Linked DNA regions of Arabidopsis thaliana. The protein of the gene in region 4 interacts with the protein of the main gene of each other region in a pairwise test. Each region holds a gene or a part of one and is shown on either strand. Other genes may lie near its edges.

Evidence for each region.
Region 1: the proteins of ARR6 (region 4) and AT1G70000 interact in a two-hybrid assay, tested with the Arabidopsis thaliana proteins (one large-scale study listed by BioGRID).
Region 2: the proteins of ARR6 (region 4) and GTE7 interact in a two-hybrid assay, tested with the Arabidopsis thaliana proteins (one large-scale study listed by BioGRID).
Region 3: the proteins of ARR6 (region 4) and HAT3 interact in a two-hybrid assay, tested with the Arabidopsis thaliana proteins (one large-scale study listed by BioGRID).

The regions. Positions count from the first base shown.
Region 1 is NC_003070.9:26,362,478-26,366,885, forward strand, and holds AT1G70000 (myb-like transcription factor family protein), read right to left. Parts: upstream 2,402-4,408; 5' UTR 2,159-2,401; coding exon 1,870-2,158; intron 1,778-1,869; coding exon 1,569-1,777; intron 1,485-1,568; coding exon 1,197-1,484; 3' UTR 502-1,196; downstream 1-501.
Region 2 is NC_003076.8:26,225,323-26,231,132, forward strand, and holds GTE7 (global transcription factor group E7), read right to left. Parts: upstream 4,253-5,810; 5' UTR 2,936-4,252; coding exon 1,466-2,935; intron 1,373-1,465; coding exon 1,162-1,372; intron 1,081-1,161; coding exon 989-1,080; 3' UTR 510-988; downstream 1-509. Other genes in the region: AT5G65620 (Zincin-like metalloproteases family protein), read left to right, coding at 69-134, 214-285, 376-462.
Region 3 is NC_003074.8:22,320,053-22,324,576, forward strand, and holds HAT3 (homeobox-leucine zipper protein 3), read right to left. Parts: upstream 2,610-4,524; 5' UTR 2,319-2,609; coding exon 2,120-2,318; intron 1,962-2,119; coding exon 1,603-1,961; intron 1,519-1,602; coding exon 1,439-1,518; intron 1,046-1,438; coding exon 736-1,045; 3' UTR 528-735; downstream 1-527. UniProt on the Arabidopsis thaliana protein: Probable transcription factor.
Region 4 is NC_003076.8:25,251,498-25,255,941, reverse strand, and holds ARR6 (response regulator 6), read left to right. Parts: upstream 1-1,623; 5' UTR 1,624-1,783; coding exon 1,784-1,934; intron 1,935-2,017; coding exon 2,018-2,094; intron 2,095-2,173; coding exon 2,174-2,251; intron 2,252-2,339; coding exon 2,340-2,410; intron 2,411-3,013; coding exon 3,014-3,197; 3' UTR 3,198-3,926; downstream 3,927-4,444. Other genes in the region: AT5G62930 (SGNH hydrolase-type esterase superfamily protein), read right to left, coding at 1-34, 134-210, 302-442, 854-1,108; AT5G62910 (RING/U-box superfamily protein), read right to left, coding at 3,927-4,444. UniProt on the Arabidopsis thaliana protein: Functions as a response regulator involved in His-to-Asp phosphorelay signal transduction system. Phosphorylation of the Asp residue in the receiver domain activates the ability of the protein to promote the transcription of target genes.

The DNA.
Region 1 (4,408 bases), on a different chromosome or scaffold from region 4:
TCGCAATTTTGGGAATGTTATTTCATATTTTGTTAAAATATGTTTAGTGAGAGCACTAAATGGCTTGAAATGTTTTGGATATTGGACATAGCAATTCGATTATCTGAGTGTAGTTGAATTTGTTCTATTTTTAGTTTTTACGTTCTTTTTTGGTGTGGAGGAATTTTTGATTAAAAAGACATAATTGACATGGAAGAAAATTTGCGTTAAAAAAACAAGGAAGAAAATTAGCGACACTTTGGTTAGATCAGCGAATAAGCCCATGGGCTATACCTTAGCTAGGCCCATTATTACTTTATTTAAGATGTATGTGATGGACATCACTTTATTTTGATGTTTTTCTTTTGCATGGATAAAAGCCATAAAACAGTTATCACTTTGGGCTCTAAATAGTACAACTGTACAAGTTTAGCTAGTTTTAAACAATTTTCCATTTCAGTTGTTTGAATTACATCATGAAATTAGAATTCTATTCCCTAATAAAAATCATGCTATACAAGACTTAGAAACTTTACCCTATATATTACTTTATATTTATCTCCAGTCCAGTCCTACATTGAGACATTTTAACAAAGTATAGATTCGAATCTTGCTGATATAGTTGGTAGGCCAATAACAATTCAACAAATTATATTCTTTGTTTTCTTGGCAGTTTCATAAATTATATCCATGTATGTAATAACATAAATAAAACAAAATGACGTCAAACGACAAACAAAAAAACAAAAAAAAACTGTTACTAAAGTAATATAACTGTGTTTGGTTCATGAATGTGACATTATCAACAACACACACCCCGAAGAAAACGGCAAATTACTGGAAAAGTCTTACCAAAAAAAAAGATAGAAAAAGCATATGAGATACACTTAACCTTAACCCAATAACCATTCTGTTTAAACTTTTCAAAAGACACATCTAAACTATCTTAAGCTTGAAGTCGTCTTCACTTCTGAATCTGATCAAGTCTTGACCAAAACAACACAGAGACTACCTGTTGTTTTACATCATACAACAACAAAAACGACAAGTCGTTTCCCCCAAAAAGAGCAAAAAAACATGTACACACTAATTCAAACTTAAAAACTCACTTGATTCTGATCAAAGTATCTAATTAGCCTAATTCTCAAATTTCAAATTAATCATCATCCAGATCTTATCTTATACAATATAAATTAATTAAAACATTATCTTCTTCATCAAGCCACTCCCATTATACTATCTCCATTACTCGACATCGCCTCGAACCCCGAGGAGGCACGTGAGCCACGTGCCTTCTGTTCATTGGACGATGACGATGTCGACGAAGACGGCCTCTGCAAATTCAGCGACAGCGGAAACATCTCCGTTGTCGCTGGAGTTTTTTTCTTGTTAAGATTCAAATCAGCCATCTTCCGCGACGGTGGAATCGGAATAGGAATCGGAACTGGACGGATTAGCTCCAATGGAGTCTGTAACTGATTCTCTTCTTTTGATGATCCTATAAACTGTTGACATATCGAACCTTATGTGTTAGTATAATCTTACAGATTCTTGATTTTAATTATAGATTTTAAAGAATGAAACGTTACCGAATCGGGAGTGATATCGAAGAGGCTTGATCTACGACGACGACGATTCTGATTAGTCCGCCGGAGAAAATATTTCTGAGCATGACTCGCTACCTGAGTAGGTGTTCGAGTTTTAACAAAGTTTCTAGAGATTCCTCTCCAATCACCTTTTCCAACTTTATGCAATCCAGTAAGAAACAATCTATGTTCTTCCTCTGTCCATGGAGTTCCTAAATTCCAAATTTGCAAGAAAGTTTCAAAAACAAGAAACAAAAACAGAGATGAGATTTGGGAAAGAGAGAAGAAAGGTTATTTTATTAACCTCGTTTGCGTTCACGGTTTCTACCGGAGGCGTGAACGACGTCGTCTGAAGCGTAACCACCGTCATCGGTTGGGTTGGGATCAGGAGTTTGATCGAATTGAGAGAGATTGTTCATACTAACACTTTTTCTAAAACAAGATGATGAAGCTTCCGTGACGCGGACGCCAAAAAGCATGATGGCTTTCTCCCCGCCGCCTTTGTCGTTGTTGTCACCGGTGGTAGTTATGTCCGTCGGACATGTGCGAGAGTTGTGGCCGTTGTTTCCACACTGTGAGCAACTACGTGACATCTTCTTCCCGAGCCAGAGAAAGAGAGAGAGAGAGAGAGAGATTTTGGAATGAAAAAGGTAAAGAGAAGAAGAAAAGAGAGGTTTAGGTTTGTTATAAATGGGAATGATTCTGCTTCTTTTTTTTATGTCTGTTTTTGAGAGCTCACCACAAAAACATTTGACCTTTATTACTTCTCTGTTTTAAATCTCAAATGACTCTGTTTTGTCCAATTATAATATTTTCTTTTGTCCATCTTAGTTTCTATTTTCATTGGCCCAAAGAAAACAAAAAATCTCCCTTTTCATTGACCTAGTTTGTGATCACTTTTTTTAATTGGTAACCTCAATAACGGTTAGAAAGAAATAATCGACGGTTATTATTTGAATTTACCACTTCTAAGCACTTGTTTGCCATTAGCCACTTCCCTAGTTAATATCACCATGGAGTCGAAGCGTGGCCAGTTTTGGATCGTTAGAAAGAAAAATATGGATAGGTTGTCGTTACGTATATAAGTATTTTAAATTTTGTGGCCAATTGCAAGGTTCGTGGACTTTTGTGAATAGTTTCATGAAATGTTTAGTGCTGCAAGTTACGAGAAATCCGAGTGGATGAAGTTTCTCTTGTCGGCGAGTGTATGAAGTTTCGGAGAAGATTGCTGTAGCTTTTTAATTTTCACGATTAACGAAACAACTTTGCATCAAAACGATAGCCAGAAAAAAATAAAGGAGGAAAGCTGGACCGTTCGATGTATCTGACTCTTGCTGTTTGTGATATAGTATAATTTAATTAAAACCTGTAACATTATTCAAAATAACTAAATTTTCATTTTGTTCATTGGGATAAGATATAATCTTGTTATTGATTTTTTTTTTTTTAATACTGTTTTCTTTTGTCTTATAGTACAATTTTGTTTTTTTTTATATAACCCAAAATATCGACTGTCCACGTAGCTCTGAGTGGATGATAGATTGAAGAATCTTTGGTTCCAACTAACATATAAAACTACGACCATTCAATTTTCATTATATGTTTCTTATTTACCCTTTATCTTTGTTGGTGACAATTATTGATAGGGACGACTATGATTAAATATTCAAATGCAATTTTAGATGCTTTATTGGAATTACTGACTATAGAAGCAACTGCGTGTCAAATTTCAGTGTTAGATTTACCAAGAAGGCACAGACACGTTTTCCTCACTTGAATTGAAATTGTCCCAAATTTTATCATTATTCATCGAAATCATAATAAAGATTCGATGCGTTTACTTTTTCAGTTAAAAGCAAACACCCAAAAATTGATATTGTTGGTGTACACATGACCCGCTTGAGAGCACTAACCCATGGTATAGGAGCATTACGCCAAACTTCTTCTTTTTTTTGTTTGTTCTGTTACTTGGGACATGCATGTTTGAAAAGCAAATATGGTTATAATTCAACAATTTTTTTAAAAGGCAGCCTATCTAATTTACTTTTTACAGTAATTTTAACTTAATGTTAAATTGGCATTAACTTTACTTAATTCTTACAGTGGTTAGCATCGATAAACTATAAGCAAAGATATAAACAAAGAGCATCGTATGTGTAGTGTACGTGCATAGGTAACCTTCTGTCAAAGATGTTCTGTGATTGGTTGATAGTGATATAGCATATGAAAGCCTCCATTCACATTTTTTTTTTTGGACATCCAATACATTTATATAATATTCGTTTTTAGCGATTAAAAGATATAAAATATTGTTATATAATATCAAAAACGGAAAGGATGAGCAGGTTTGGTCCGTTGGGTATTTCGAAGATGCATTACATAACTAGTGGAAAATGTCTTTTCTTTCTTAGTTTGCCAATAACAGAAAATGCCTATACTTCTGTGACAATCAATCAATAGACACCATACACAATCATATATCTTTCTCCAATTAAACAAAAACATGTCCGTAGTAACAAATTTATGTCGGGTTAAAGATATTTTCTTAGGTGAAGGTTTGTATTTATTAATGTATATAACTTAGATTGTTGTATATAAACTTAGTTTGGTTAGTATAGATTTCATATAGAGTCTGTAAAGGTTGGTATTTTATAAACCAATCTTAATTTTGGTTTAGAGGCTTATGGTTTAGGCCAATGTCAGTTTGTATATAAACCCCCAATTGTACTCTTTTGCTAATTAATGAGAATGAGATTGTTTTACTAATATGGTATCAGAGCAAAATATCTCGATCTCAGTCCCGTAACAAACTTCTCCGATTAGATCTCACCGGAATCTCACCG
Region 2 (5,810 bases), 970 kb from region 4:
TATACTATAACCGACTCTGTAAATTCTCACTCAAATATCTAAAAAAACTGGATGTGAAAAACTTGCAGTGGGCAGAAGTTTTGTCTGCTGATGCATTTTCAGCATTTGAAGACGCTGGACTAGACGACATCAAGGTATCAGTATATCCTAAAACATCTGTTATAGACACAAATAGTTGAGATACAAGATTACGAAATTTTTTGTTGCAAACAGGCTGTTAAAGAAACAGGACAGAGATTCAGAAACACCATACTTGCACTTGGAGGAGGGAAAGCGCCTCTTAAGGTATTACTAACTACTACTATATTGTGTTTTCATACAATAGTTTCAATATTTGTTGCATTTCATTCTCAATTGATTCCAAATTATGATCAGGTGTTTGTTGAGTTTAGAGGACGAGAACCTTCACCCGAGCCTCTTCTCAGACACAATGGACTCTTGGCTGCCTCTGCTTCTGCTTAACTCTTATATAATCCTCACAACATTTGGAAACTTTGAAAGACATTTATAAGATGGAAAATCAACTTTTCTTTTTTAATATGCCAACCATTTACATCTAATACATTGCATTGATTTCTTTCTTCTCTTCTATCACCATTTTTCCTACCACAACCAGACTCTTTAACACTACTAACAAAGAAAAATAAATAAAGTCATAGAACCTAAAAAGACTCTTTTCTTCTTCTTCTTCTCCTACAGTACCTACCCACTCACTCTCACCCTCTGTTCAGCATCTCACAAATACACTAAACAACTCCTAAATCTAAAAGGTATTAAATAACGAACTCTTCTTCTTGCTTAAACTAGCACTCTCTTTCTATCTACCTATTACATTTTTCTTTCTAACTACATCTGCTTCCTAAGTTTATCATCGAAAGAAAAAACAAATCCTTTCCTTCAGTTTTCCCCTTCATTCCTCCCTTTACACCCTCAGCTAAACGTTCCTAGTACTTCAGGACAGAATCAACGGTTAAATTCCCAAATGATTTTAACATTGGGCTTCTTTTGCTTCCACAAATGGCGATTGAACACTATCTGCATCAGAATCACTACCTGATGAACTCCCACCTGACCCTGAATCTGCAGATCATTACAATGTTAGAGTCGACACAAGAATAGGGGAAACCTCTAGCAAGAGGAAAAGGGTTTATGAAAACATACCACTAGACGAGGAACTACCACCACTAGAACTGGAACTGCCTGAAGAACTAGAACCACTACTAGCAGCAGCTGCAACTGCAGTACCATCTCTTTCGATCTCTACAGATGGATAATCTTCGATTGGTATGTCCTCTCCAATGTCAACATCCTCTTCCCCTGCATCTCCTCTCCTTGTTCTCTTCTCCGCACTACCCATTTCTGCTACCGAAGCCTAAGAGACACAGACGAAGAAAACAATTTTGAGTATTGAAACCACAGTGATCAAATGGTGGTTTTGATAGGAAGGCAGTGCAAATTTGCTTACCATGTTCCTAGGTGGAGTTGACACGTTCCTGATAAACCCTTGGCGCTTGATTTTGCTAGCCATCTTCTTGTAGTTCGTCACAAAACGATCAAGCTCCCATAGAGTCTCATTGTCGACAGCTTCTATATCCAGCTCAATTTCGTCCCCATCTTGAGCTAAATGTCCGTTTCTCTTCCTGAGAATCTGAAGCAACTGACCAAGCTTCTCAGGAGGCAAGTCTTGTAGATTCATACCAAGCTTTGACTTCTCTTCCATCGTCATCAACCTCTTATTTGGATCCTTAGCCTTAGGCTTCGGCAACTTCCCCTTCCTTCCTTTTGACACTTCACTCACATCAGGAGGTGCTTCTACTTCAATTTCAAGCTGTGGAGGTGGTGGTTGAGGCTGCGGAAGTTCAGGCTGTATCACCGGAGGAGGGGGAGGAGGAGAAGGAGATTGAACGCGTGACGGCTCGACTAATTGAGGAGGCAATGTAGGTTGTGGCGGCTTCACTGAATCAAGCTTCTTCGCAATAGATATTTGTTCGGTTCCTTTCCTAGGATTCGCCACCATTGGCGGATTCTGATTCCACTGTCTTTGCTTGAAGTCAGGTTTGAAGTCAGGTTCAGGACGAGATGAAGAACCAGTGAGTTTAAGCTGCTGAGCCTCAAACTTCTTAAAAGCAGGATTGAACATTCCATCGAAATGATCCAAAAGCTTATCAGCCATAAAATACACATCTTGTCCCTTTGGATTATACGTCATTGCATTGTCGAATGTCAATCTGACATCAGTAGCAAAATCAATCGGCGAAACGTAGAATCCTTTATCAAGATTCAATTTCACTGTACCCAGATCCATAGGTTTCTTCACAACCTGATGATAATCATGAAGCCCTAAACCAACCACATCAACAGGAGTGTTGAACACCCACGCCCATTTATGCTTCATTAGCTTCACCAAGATCTGACTACAGGTATTCAACATACCGGCCAATAATTTCTCCGACTCCGGATCCGACGGACCAAATTGATTGCTTCGCTTGAGACCTGACACATTTTTCTTCTGTTTCTTCTTCTTCGGTCCAAGGTCATTCTTTTCACCGGTGAAGTTATTCAACGGAGCTGATCGAACGGCGGGTACCTCTGGGATAGTATAACCTTGCTGAGTCTCGAACGTCCCTGACTCGATCCGTTCTCTCAGGATCCGAATCTGCTTGAGCTCTGAGGTAAAGCGCTTCTTAAGCTCCCTGAGCTGACTTGAGGTGTACCCAGCGAGATTAAAAGTAGCATAGCTTCCAAATTCCGACGAGTCATCGCACTGCTTGCTCGAATTGCTCCTTTCGAAATTAGGGTTAGGGTTAGGGTTGAAGAGCGGAAGGTTATTGGTGTTTTCGGTGACGGATTGGTTTGTAAATTTCCTCATAAAAACGGCGCCGCATTGTTCCTGGTACGACGGTTCGTTTAAGGTAGCGAAAACAGCCGGAGCCATACGAATCGCAAGGTCATTTCTGGGGTTTTCACTCTTCTCGAGCTTTTAGAAGAAAAAAAAATTCACCTCCCAAAAAAGGCGCGGGAAAATTACATCACCGGCGAAAATTCCGGCGATCGGGGAACTGAAAAATTTTAGAGCTTCAGAAAAAGGGATGAAAAGAGGGTTTTTTGGGAGATGGTCGATGATGATGAGGAAGAAGATGGGAGGCATCATCTCTTCTTAAAGGCCATTGGAATCTGACCGACATAACGCTTAGTTTAAATCTAACCGTTAAATTTAGATCTTACGGTTCAGATCTGTTGGGTGACGCTGACCGATCTAGCTGCCCCGGAAATCTGCCACGGATGGCTCAGATCTTCGTAGTTATCCACGTGGAGTTATTTTAGCCGTTTGTTCGTGAGGCGTCGTGTGTATGTGTTATTTTTGTATTTTTTTAATAATTCCTACGAACTTTACAAAAATTGATGTGGATTTTTAAAATGATTTTCCTTTTTTTGTGAGAGAGGCAAACTAGTCATTTCTATGTCTGAATGGGTCCCACACTGACTTTTCATTATTTTTTGTTTTCTTTCGTTTCTTTATTTTCGGATTCGACTCTCTCATTGGTCGCTTTTTATTTTGCCAGGTCAGCGGTTGCCACGTGGAGACAGCTAGGATCTCGGTTTCATGAATGCTCCTCGTAACTTTTGAATCTTGCCCTTAAACTGGATTACTCCTAGCTAATTAAAGACTAAATCATAACTAATTAATTTGCTATGAAATAAGTATAAATTGCAATGAGTTGACAATTAAATATTCCGACCACAAACAAAACCCAAAAGAAAAAAAAACTCATTTCTCATCGCCGGGCGGTCACCGACTAGACGGCGGACGAATTTAGGGCAACACCAGTTAGTCGGAATGACGAAAATACCCTTCTTGTTTATGAACCCAACCAAACCCCCAAATGGGCTTTTTCACTTTCAGATCTCTGGGCTAGAGAACTGCTAAAATATTGATTTCTCATTTTTTTCTCAAAAAAAAACGAATTTTGTTATTTTCGAAAGGAAAAAAAAATTGAGAGCGGTTATTACCAGAAAAAGCATGGTATTGTGTGGAGCAGAACTTACATCATAAACTAATCAGAAACTTTTAATAAATAAATCTAGTTAAACTGGAAAAAAAGTGAATGAATTAAACAAAATCTAAGTAAACTGAATAATTTCTCAGAAACAAAGAAGAAGACTAACAAAAGTAACAACAAAAGAGAAGATAGAGAGGAGAAGAAAAGAAAGAGAAAGACAACTCAAGGCAAAAGAGTGATCCAAACACACAATTATTGAATCAATGAGGGCCATTTTTCATATATATATTTTTCCAGCAAAAATTGGGTCTAATCTGGACCGTTGAATTTTAAAAATATTTTCTCAAAAGCCCATATGATTATTAGTCGTGGGCCAAATTCTTCTAACCAACCTATATTAATTAAAAAGGATTTAAAACATTTTTTCTTGTAATTGATATTTATTTCCATTTCCTATAAAAAAATTATCACTTAAAATATAATATTGATTACAATTATAATAAATAAATTAAACTTACGTATAATTCACCCCCAAAAAAAAAAAGACTCTTTGTGAAAAAGGGCAATCCGTAATAAGTACTGGAGAAGCTGAGAAATGAGAATGTTAAGAAGGGTAGCGTCTAAGCCCAACAACCAAAGTAGGGACCAGACAGCTAAGCAAACCCACTATCAGATATTTTCTCTATGCACCACGCGCTTTTTATTAAGAGCCGTGCGCTCACACTTCTTCATCTACTTACATAAATTTTGTCGCAAATCGGAATTTTCTTCACATTACAAGACAACAAACTACTACTATGCTGCACAATTATAGTTTCCTTCATAAAGAACAAACATTATCATTTTTGCTAAACCTTCCAAATTGTTTCATCACGAAATTAAACGGTAATTTTCATGGAAATGTAAGTGAAAGAATCAGAGAAGAGAAATAGTGTAAATCGGATTTTGATCTCTTAGAAACTGAATTTCTTTCATTAATCAATAGGGAGGAAGAAGAATGAAATATGTTAAGACTAAATATTGGATAAGATACTTTTTCAATAACCGGTTAAATTGAATCACGGACCGGTTGGTTCGCTATGCTAGTTGGACTGGACTTCAGAATCCAGATATAAACGGCCCGCTAATAATGGGTTTTGTTATAGCCCAATATGTTTGTTCAAAACTCTCAGAGGCCCAGGATTACGGAAACAAATAGCTCCTCTCTAGCACTGAGTATGTGTCTTTGAAAATAAAAGAAAATCGATAATTAGCCTACACGAGCGAAATGATAACACTAATCATTATATAGGATGCTATCTAGAAATTTGACTTAGGAAAAAAAAGAAAAAATTTGCAAGCTGGCATTAGAGATGAAAACAAATTAGAAGACACGAATATAAATGTTACTATGAAAATCCAGGGTAAAATGAATAGTTTTGAACATGTGAATGTGAGATAAGATGTGACTTTGATTATGATTCGTACAAATCTGTGTAAAAACAAAACAAATATAATACCAGAAGTAGACATAATTAACTGAATCTGGCTCCTGTTCTCTCATAAAGCTCCCTTCTTATGTTGTAATAATTGAATGTCCCCACTCTTTTTTTTTCTTTCTATTCGTCCCATTTGTTTTTATTTCAAAAGTCGTTCTAATTGTTTCGAAGGAAATGTATAATATGAATCGTGTCGAATTTGATATTTGGATGTCTCATAAAATAACAGAAAAAATTCATAACTTTTTGACTAATGTGATATTTCTAATAGTGGTTTAGTGGATTGAATAGACCTGAGGATGGCCCTGTGCTCCACCTCGAGATATCAAGG
Region 3 (4,524 bases), on a different chromosome or scaffold from region 4:
AAATTGAAACACCGAGAGATATCTTGGTCGTACCTCTCATTTTCTCTTTCTCTGTCGGTTGAGATCTTTTGACATAAGGGAAGAAAAAAATATCGTATCTTCAGTGTTCTGCAAGAGATTCTAATGGTCTGACTTCGTCTATGTGGACCCAAATATCTCCATATACATACCAAATGCTATGTTATGTCACGTACATGTCTCGATATTCGTATTGGCTAACATTTACTTATTACATATGCAAACAACACACGCTTGCTCCATCAATCATAACACCTTTCATTGCTTCTTTTTACTTTATACTTCTAACTAATCTTCTACTGTAATTAATAATCATCTTTACAAATCCCTTTCTTAAGTTCCAAGCAAAAGAAAGAAAACCCCAATTAAACAATTACAACTTTAATAAATGACGCTCTTGAAAATTAGTTTATGCACCATTCGTTATTATGATTCGATGGCCTTAAAATAGAACTCTGGATTTGGTGAAAAACAGATATGATGTAATCAAAATATATAACAATAAAGAATGATAGAACCTCTTATCTTTCCCCAAACTAATAATTGGACAATAATATTAGTAGATTTTCCATTATCCAGAATTCAGCTATAAATAGAAACTGAATAAAACAAAGGAAAGAAGAGCATGGGACCAACTCTTGAAAAGAACTTCCAAGTCCGTTCAACAATATAATAAAAACAAATCACCAAACCTATTATCTTTAGACTAATTAAACTCTAATGAGAACCAGCAGCAGGTCGTTGCCGTAGAGGCATGGCAGCCCACGGACTCATCGGACCCATCGGAGACGATGAATTCATCACAGGAGGAGCCACCGATGACGAAGATGACGTAACAGCGACTCGCTCGCAAGAAGGACACATTGTGAGAGTAGTGGGAGGTTTCATGTGCATGTATAAGTGTGGAGAAAGCTTTAAAGCCCTAAGCTCACTCACTTCCTTTTGCAATCTCCGATTCTCATCCGTTAGATTCTCGCAACATCTCTTAAGATATTCACAGTCTACTTCCGTTTGCTTCAGCTTCGTCCTATAAACACACACACAAACAGTCCAAAACATTAAAATCCGATATCCGGTTTAACTATCCGGGAAAGAGAAAACCCGAAGTACATTTGTTTCTTGTATTCGAAACTGGCGGTTATTGTTCTTGAACCGGAAAACTGAAAACACTTTAACCAAAATTTGACTCAAAAACAACATTGGCGGTTTTAATTCTTAAACCGGGAAAACTGAATAGCTTAAACCAAACCTCCTAATTTAAGACATGAGAGACCCATTAAAATCCTTTAGGATAATCTTATGGGTCATAAAATGGACCATTACACATATCACCATCATAGCAATAACTACTAATGTTTTATTTGTTGGACTATATAAAATTTACGAAAGTAACCCCTTAAAATAGAATAAAAATTTCTACCTTGCCCTTCGGTTTTGGAACCACACTTCAACTTGTCTCGTCCTCAGATTCAATTGCTTAGCCAAAGCCATCTTTTGCTTCTGCATCCAACAACAACAAAAAAAGTCAATGAAAAACATATAAAAAGTCAACCTATTGAAGAAAACTACGGAAATGCCACTGACCGGATTGAGTGTACTATGTTCTTTAAAAGTTTCTTCAAGAACCAAAGCTTGTTCTTTAGACAATCGGAGTTTCTTCCTCGAACTGTCATCTCCGTTCCCGCTACCGTCTTCATCGTCGCTACCACCGCCGAGCGAGCAAGAAGCTCTCTCAATCTCATTATCTTCTACTCTACCTCCTCCAACTGCACCTGCCGCAGCCATTAGCTCTCGCTCGCTCTTCTTCCCGCTCATCACGCTTGAGACGGTGCTGTTCGGAGACGAAACTCCGGCGCCTTCATCCTCCACGTCAACCACCACCGTCGATGGAGCTCTGTTCACGTCTATTCCCCGGAGAAACGATCTCATGTCCGAGTTTCTCTCTGCACGTTACGTTAATCACGCCAAATGATTAAAAATCACAAACATATCAAGAAAATTTTATCTATTATAGGATAAAGTGTAATAAAAAGATCGGATCTAAAACAAAGAAACCTATAATCTTAGACATGAATCTGGATTAGTAAAAGGAGGTAAATACCTGATGACTGAAACATGTTAATCCAAGTGTTCTGAATCTTTTGAGGATGGTTATAATTGCTCTGCTGCATATGCTGCATGTGTGATGAAGATGCATAAGAAGCCAGAGGCATTGGATTTAACCTCGAAGACGGGTCCTTTTGATTAAAACCTAAACTCAAGCTCAAACTTAGCCCCAATCCATCATCTCTTTCACTCATTTTTCTCAACCCCAGAAAGAAGAAAGAAGAATTCTGTCTGGGTGCTCAAGATTTTTAAGCGAGGAAATGAATAAATGACTCTTTCTCTCTCTCTTTCTTAAAGATGTTGTGCCACTGCCTCTACACTTGTGCAGCAGTACAGTTTCAAAAGATATGGCTTATATTTATTTATATATGCAAAAGAGTTTTTTCAGACAAAGAGATATGGGGTTGTGGGGAGGCTTAGGGTTTCAATGATGACTTGTGTCAGAGAGACCTCTGTTACCTCAATGATGATATATACTGCATAAAAACCTGCTTCCTTCTCTCTTTATTTTAACTTAACCATGGTTAAAATTAAAACCAGGAGTTATTACTTTCACCTCACATCCCTTTTCAACCATGGTTAATTGATTTATTATAAGAAAAAAAAAAGTCCAAGTCTCTTGTTCTTTCTCTATCATTTTCCGTTTGGTATATTGTAAGTTGTCACTATTCTTAATTACAAAATAACCTATGAGCGTTTTTCAAATATTATATTAGATTCTTATACATATGATAAACTCATTCACCCAAATCCATTCATGTGAGGTTTTACTAAATATAGATAAAAGCTGAGTTTCTACTTTAAAAGATACTAAAGATTAGTAGTTGACAATATAATTGAGTAGAGATTTTGTGTACCCGAGTTTCAAAGTAAAGAAAATGTAAAAGAAGCTCTTTTTCAAAAACACACAAACAAGCATAATTGGCTTTTTGTAATGTGGCTTTCATTACGAAAGCGGCTTTCTCGCTCGTTGACCGTTGACTGATTGAGAGGATTAAAAAAGCAGCGACCAGACGGTAAAATCCACGCGCTCGTGAGGGTGATCAAATAATGATATCATATCATAATAATTAATAAATCATCATCATCATCAGTATCATTATGAACATCATCATCATATCATGCCTTATTGTTATCATCATAACTTTACTTCTCCCTCTGACCATTGGGGTCCTACGTATCTCAAAAATAATGCAGCTTCGCTTTAATATTAGTACTCTTAAAGCATAATTTGTAGTACTGTATATCAAACCATATAATTGTACTTCCCATTTTAACATGGAATTATATCCTTAAAACAAATCTCACCCACTCTCCAAATTCACCATCACTTGTTAACTTGTTGGTTAGAAAAGGTTCTTTAAGTTAGCTTTATGGTGAATATGTTTCATCATTGGCATTCGATTATGACAACTATTTTTTTTTTTTTGAGAAAAGATCAGCTAAATTATGTTTTTCTTAGTAGTTTTAAACCATTCTATAACCTTTATTGGGTAAAATTATATAACCTAGTTACAAACCAAACTTTCTTAAAGAATGAAATGAATTATTATTCTTCAATGGGTTATTGTTAAAATGTGATTATGAGGATGTTGGAATAATAGGTAAGCGTGAAAGAATAGATACGCGCGAATGGGCGAGTGTGAGGTGGGGGGAGAATAAGGCGGTGGGCTCAAAATGGGTATGGAATCAGGAGGGGGCAGAGATACGGTGTCGTATAGATAGGTTACAGAGAACCTAAAAGCCCTAAACACTGCATGGATTTTGAGTTGTCTGCGAATCCAACATGCATTCCCATTCCATGCCTCCCTCCTTCATTTATTGTTCCTTTTTCCCAATGTGATACCAAAAGATAATTAACTTTCTCATTAATTTCATCTGTCAGTCAAACATAAATAAAAACGCACGACAAGTGGTGTTGGCTGATTTTTATGACTAATAAGAGAGTAATTAAATTACTATTTAATTAATGATGACTCCATATATGTTATTGATATTGCCATCATTACTTCTGCCTTCAGTCTCTTCAAAACTTTCAGCAGTTACACAGACAAGACAGGTCAGCTCTATTTATTTAATTTCCTGCTCGTGTTTAATTTATATGTTTGATTTTACATTTACACAGGAAACAATCTAAACATAACCCTTCTTCTCATTTATTTTCTCCATTAATAACACTGTTACTTAGATTTTTAGAAAACACCAAAAAAAAAAGCATTTGTGAAAATAGAAAGACAAAATATATTTGATCAAGTTTTCCTTTTATTATTAACACACTTATTCAACGCAAAAAAAAAAAAAACATAGCCAAAGTTTATTTGTTTTACCTCTTTGTTATACGAGAGACTTTCAAGCTCTGAAGTCTATGGAAATTCAAGTTTTGTTTGTATTTTATGGAAT
Region 4 (4,444 bases):
AGGCTCTTTCATAGCTTTCTCACCGTAGATTGATCTGATGTAACACAATCACTGGCTCATTTAAGAAACATGTCGGACTAAATGCTTTGAGAAACAAAAATGCAAAGAAGAAAAGGATCATAATAAAGCCTACTCTGCATAACTTTGACGTCCAGCTTCATCAATTGGTGGTGGAGTTATAAGCACAATTAGCATTGTAGGTGAACATTTCTACAAAACAGAGTCATTAGTCTTTAAAGGAATCACACTTCAAGAAAAGTAAGTCCATGCATTAGAGTGGATCAAAGAAGCATATCAAAACCTTCAAATGCTGAACAATCTTTCTGACATTATCTGTGTACTCTTCCACCGGCACATGTTGTCTATCACTGGTTCTTCCTTTGAGAGCTGCATCGTTTGCACCGAAGAATATCGTCGTAGCAACAGGAGGAGACGAAGAGCCCTAGGCAAAAAGACAGAGTAGAACACATACTGAGATAGGCACACCAAAACAACACGCACTACAAGAAGAGTTCTCATGATATATGCAGATGTAATTGCCTTTTACCATCTCAAAATTCAAATCTAAATCTTTCGTACTTCAACCAATCCATGACAATGTCATAAAACCAACACATCCTAGAATCATATCAAAACCATTCAGAACTGAACCATAACAAGCATAAGCAAAACAAAAAATGATGCACAAGAGACAATAACTCAAGATCTATATCCACACAGATCATACACACAATCACAACAGCTCATGAACAAAATCATCCCAATGACTACCAAAATTCGTTCGTGTTTAGATCAAATTTCAAATCAACATTTGTAGACTCGAGGGAGGGAGAGAGAGATAAAAAGTACTGACGAGAGGGAAGATGTGATGAAGCAAGAAGAGAGCCCATCGGGTGTTGTAGCCGCCGTAGCCTCGAACCACAACATCAGCCTTGCGAGAGTAAGCGTCGGCAAGAGCAGATCCCCAACCGCCGGACCTAAAAGACTGCGCCGTGATCGAGTCGCCGAACAGAACTATCTCCGGCCTCATCTCGCTGTCTCCCTCCGGTTCACTGAGTAAACCGTTAACTGTATTAGGAAACTTAAAGTCTCTTCTGGGCCAAATCATATGGGCCGGGCCTTTAGTATTAATTTGTTATATTTTTGGTGAATGAAAAGGTGGTAATCTAAAGAGGTTTTACTAATTGTAGATTAAGGATGCGTGTAATGTTTTAGTATTAGTTTATGATTTCTTGATTTCACATTTTTCTGTCTTGAGCTTAAGTCAAAACCTCAAAGTGAACTTCTACGTAGATGAAGTATTGAAGTGTAGAAGTTAAATGCGTGAACTTCCACAATTCAACTACAAACACACTTTTACCAAAAAAAACTACAAACACACACAAATAATTTAAAAATAAAAAAAGAATTCTACAAGTTATTGAATATCGGTTTGGGTCGGTTAAATCTTGCATCCCATTCCAAATTTTCTGGTTTGTTCTTCGTTTTGACTAAACTTGAACCGATTGGTTTGACTTTATTTCGGTTTTTTGTTTTAACTTATTTAATAATAAAAATCCACCGAACTATTATTTATATAAAATATAAAATAAAGATTTTGAAAGCAAATTGACAAAATCTTAAAGATATGCAAAATCTCTCGATTTCATTCATATTTTTTCCCTCTTTTATTTCTTTCTTTCTTTCTTTCTACTTATATAAATGGCCCAACCACTGCCACCATGGTTTCACATCATATCTTTCTCTTCCTTTTTCTTCCAAATCCTCCAACATTCGTTGATCAATGGCTGAAGTTATGCTACCGAGGAAGATGGAGATTCTCAACCATTCTTCAAAGTTTGGATCACCGGATCCTCTTCATGTTCTTGCCGTCGACGACAGTCACGTTGATCGTAAATTCATCGAGCGTTTGCTCAGAGTATCTTCTTGCAAAGGTAATTATTACTCATATTTTGAAAAATCAGTCTCTGAATTCGGGCAAGTTATCTGAGTAAAAAGCTCTGTTTTGGTTGTTCAGTTACTGTTGTTGATAGTGCAACAAGAGCTCTCCAATACCTTGGTTTGGATGTTGAGGAAAAATCAGTCGGTTTTGAGGTATAAAACAATTTCCAAGAGAAAACAAAATTTTGCCGTAGCTCTCAAGCAATATGTTAAATCGTGATTTGTGCTTCAGGATTTGAAGGTTAATTTAATTATGACTGATTACTCAATGCCCGGTATGACTGGATATGAACTCTTGAAGAAGATCAAAGTAAGCAAACAAACATATAATGATATAATTAGTCAATGGAATTTGAGTTTTATGTTTATCTAATCCTTTTTTACGTGATTTTCCACAGGAATCCTCAGCTTTTAGAGAAGTACCGGTGGTAATTATGTCCTCCGAGAACATTTTGCCTCGTATTGATAGGTATAAAACTTCATCATAATCTTAAGTCAAACTATAGTAAATTTGGTGAATATCTTTGTCTTAGATGATCAAAAAAAGAATTAGATAAAACAAAAAGGGATTAGATCACAAAGTAAAGTTCCTGCTCATATGGTTAAAAGTTAATTTCCTTAAACCATTTTTGGTGGTGGATATTGCATAATTAAACAAATGTTGAGATTTGGTGATCTTTAATGGGTCCCAAGATGATTTTGTGTATAAAGATGTTTCTAACCAGCAAAATCTTTACTTTGGGATTTGATTCTATTTCTGGTGATGTGATATTACAATAAAATAAGTACATGATCTTGCTTGCCTAATATTTGGTAGGGTATTGTGAAAGCCACCTCACATGCTTTTTCACTTTGCATACAATATTAGGAAACCTCTAGACCAAATAAAATAAAAAGGAATATGTATTTGTGTTACACACAATGGCCAACTCAATTACGAACTGGCCATTTTATGATTGTTTGCTACATATACAACAAAAAAAAAACTTATTGATCCAAAGCTATCATCAACTTTATTGAAATTGGAGTTTACTCAAACTGATTTTCTTGTGATTATTATTTTGTCATTCAGATGTCTTGAAGAAGGGGCTGAAGATTTCTTACTGAAGCCGGTAAAACTCTCGGATGTAAAAAGATTAAGAGATTCTCTAATGAAGGTTGAAGATTTGTCTTTCACAAAGAGTATTCAGAAGAGAGAGCTAGAAACAGAGAATGTCTACCCTGTTCACTCGCAGCTCAAACGCGCAAAGATCTGAGCTCTCCGATGCAAATTCCGTGACTGGATCTTAGAAAAAGCCTTTTCATATACAGAAGCTTCAAGACTCAATGCACTTGAGCCTACACTGATGATTCTCGCCAGCTTAATGACCTATACAATTTTCCAACCCCTATGGCCTTTTTCGCTGATTGAATTCAGTGGGTTTATTCATATAGTAGTAATGTAAATGGTATAGAGATGAGCAAAAGCTATATTATATATTATATTCATTAGAGGGGTCATAGCTTTTTTCCTTACAAGAGATTTGTAAGCTGGCTTAATAGAAGTTGTTAAGAAGCCTCACTTTATGTGAATAAATGATTTTGTTAGCTAATCATAAACAATCAGAAGTTTCCTAAAAGAATTTGAAGTAATGAGAGTTGATCTCTGGTGAATGGTGATTCTAAAAAACAAGCTTTGGTTCATGAGTAACTTGTCAAGAGGATTCACCATAGCAACAAAATAACTCTTAAACCTTCAATAATGTTTGACAAGGAATAAATGCAGACCAAACATATGGAATTAGAAAAGAGAACATAGCATTCATTATTGAAACTATCTAAATGTATTTGAATCATTTTCTGTACCACCTTTTATGTATTCACACATCACATTCTACATCATCACCACAGTGTTTCAGACTTAGAACCATAGATGACATAGAAAACAGAGCTTAAGTTCTCGAGTTCCAAAAGACAACATGGTTGAGAAAACCGCACCTCTCCTTTTAAAACTTGCAAAACATGCTAGACGAACGAGCCAACCGAATTGTTAGACCACCACCTTGAATACTAGTCTCAGCCTTGACCATATTCCGTTCATAGGGTTTCCTGCAGCCTGGACAACGCCCATCTCCATCGCAAATGGTCTTGTGGCAGAACAGACAGAGCCGAAATCCACAAGGACAGGGGAGGAAATTCGAATCCGTCAAGTCCAAGTCTTCGTAGCATATGGGACATGAAGACGGAATCGCCACAGAGCTAAAACGCTTGTCTAACTCCGGAAAACTAAGCTGCTTCGCCAAATTAGGTAACCCCTGTGGGCGAAGGTCATCATCTAGCCTCCAAGCTCTATTACTAGTCTGCTTCCTTGATGACACTCTCAAGCATTCCTGCTTTGGATCTTCAACACCCACAACATCTGATGCATCACTAATCGACGAATCACACACATTAGAAGCTGATTGTCCAACACTCACTTGCTCTTTCACAGACTCAAGAGGACGACTCTTTTTCTCAATCTCTT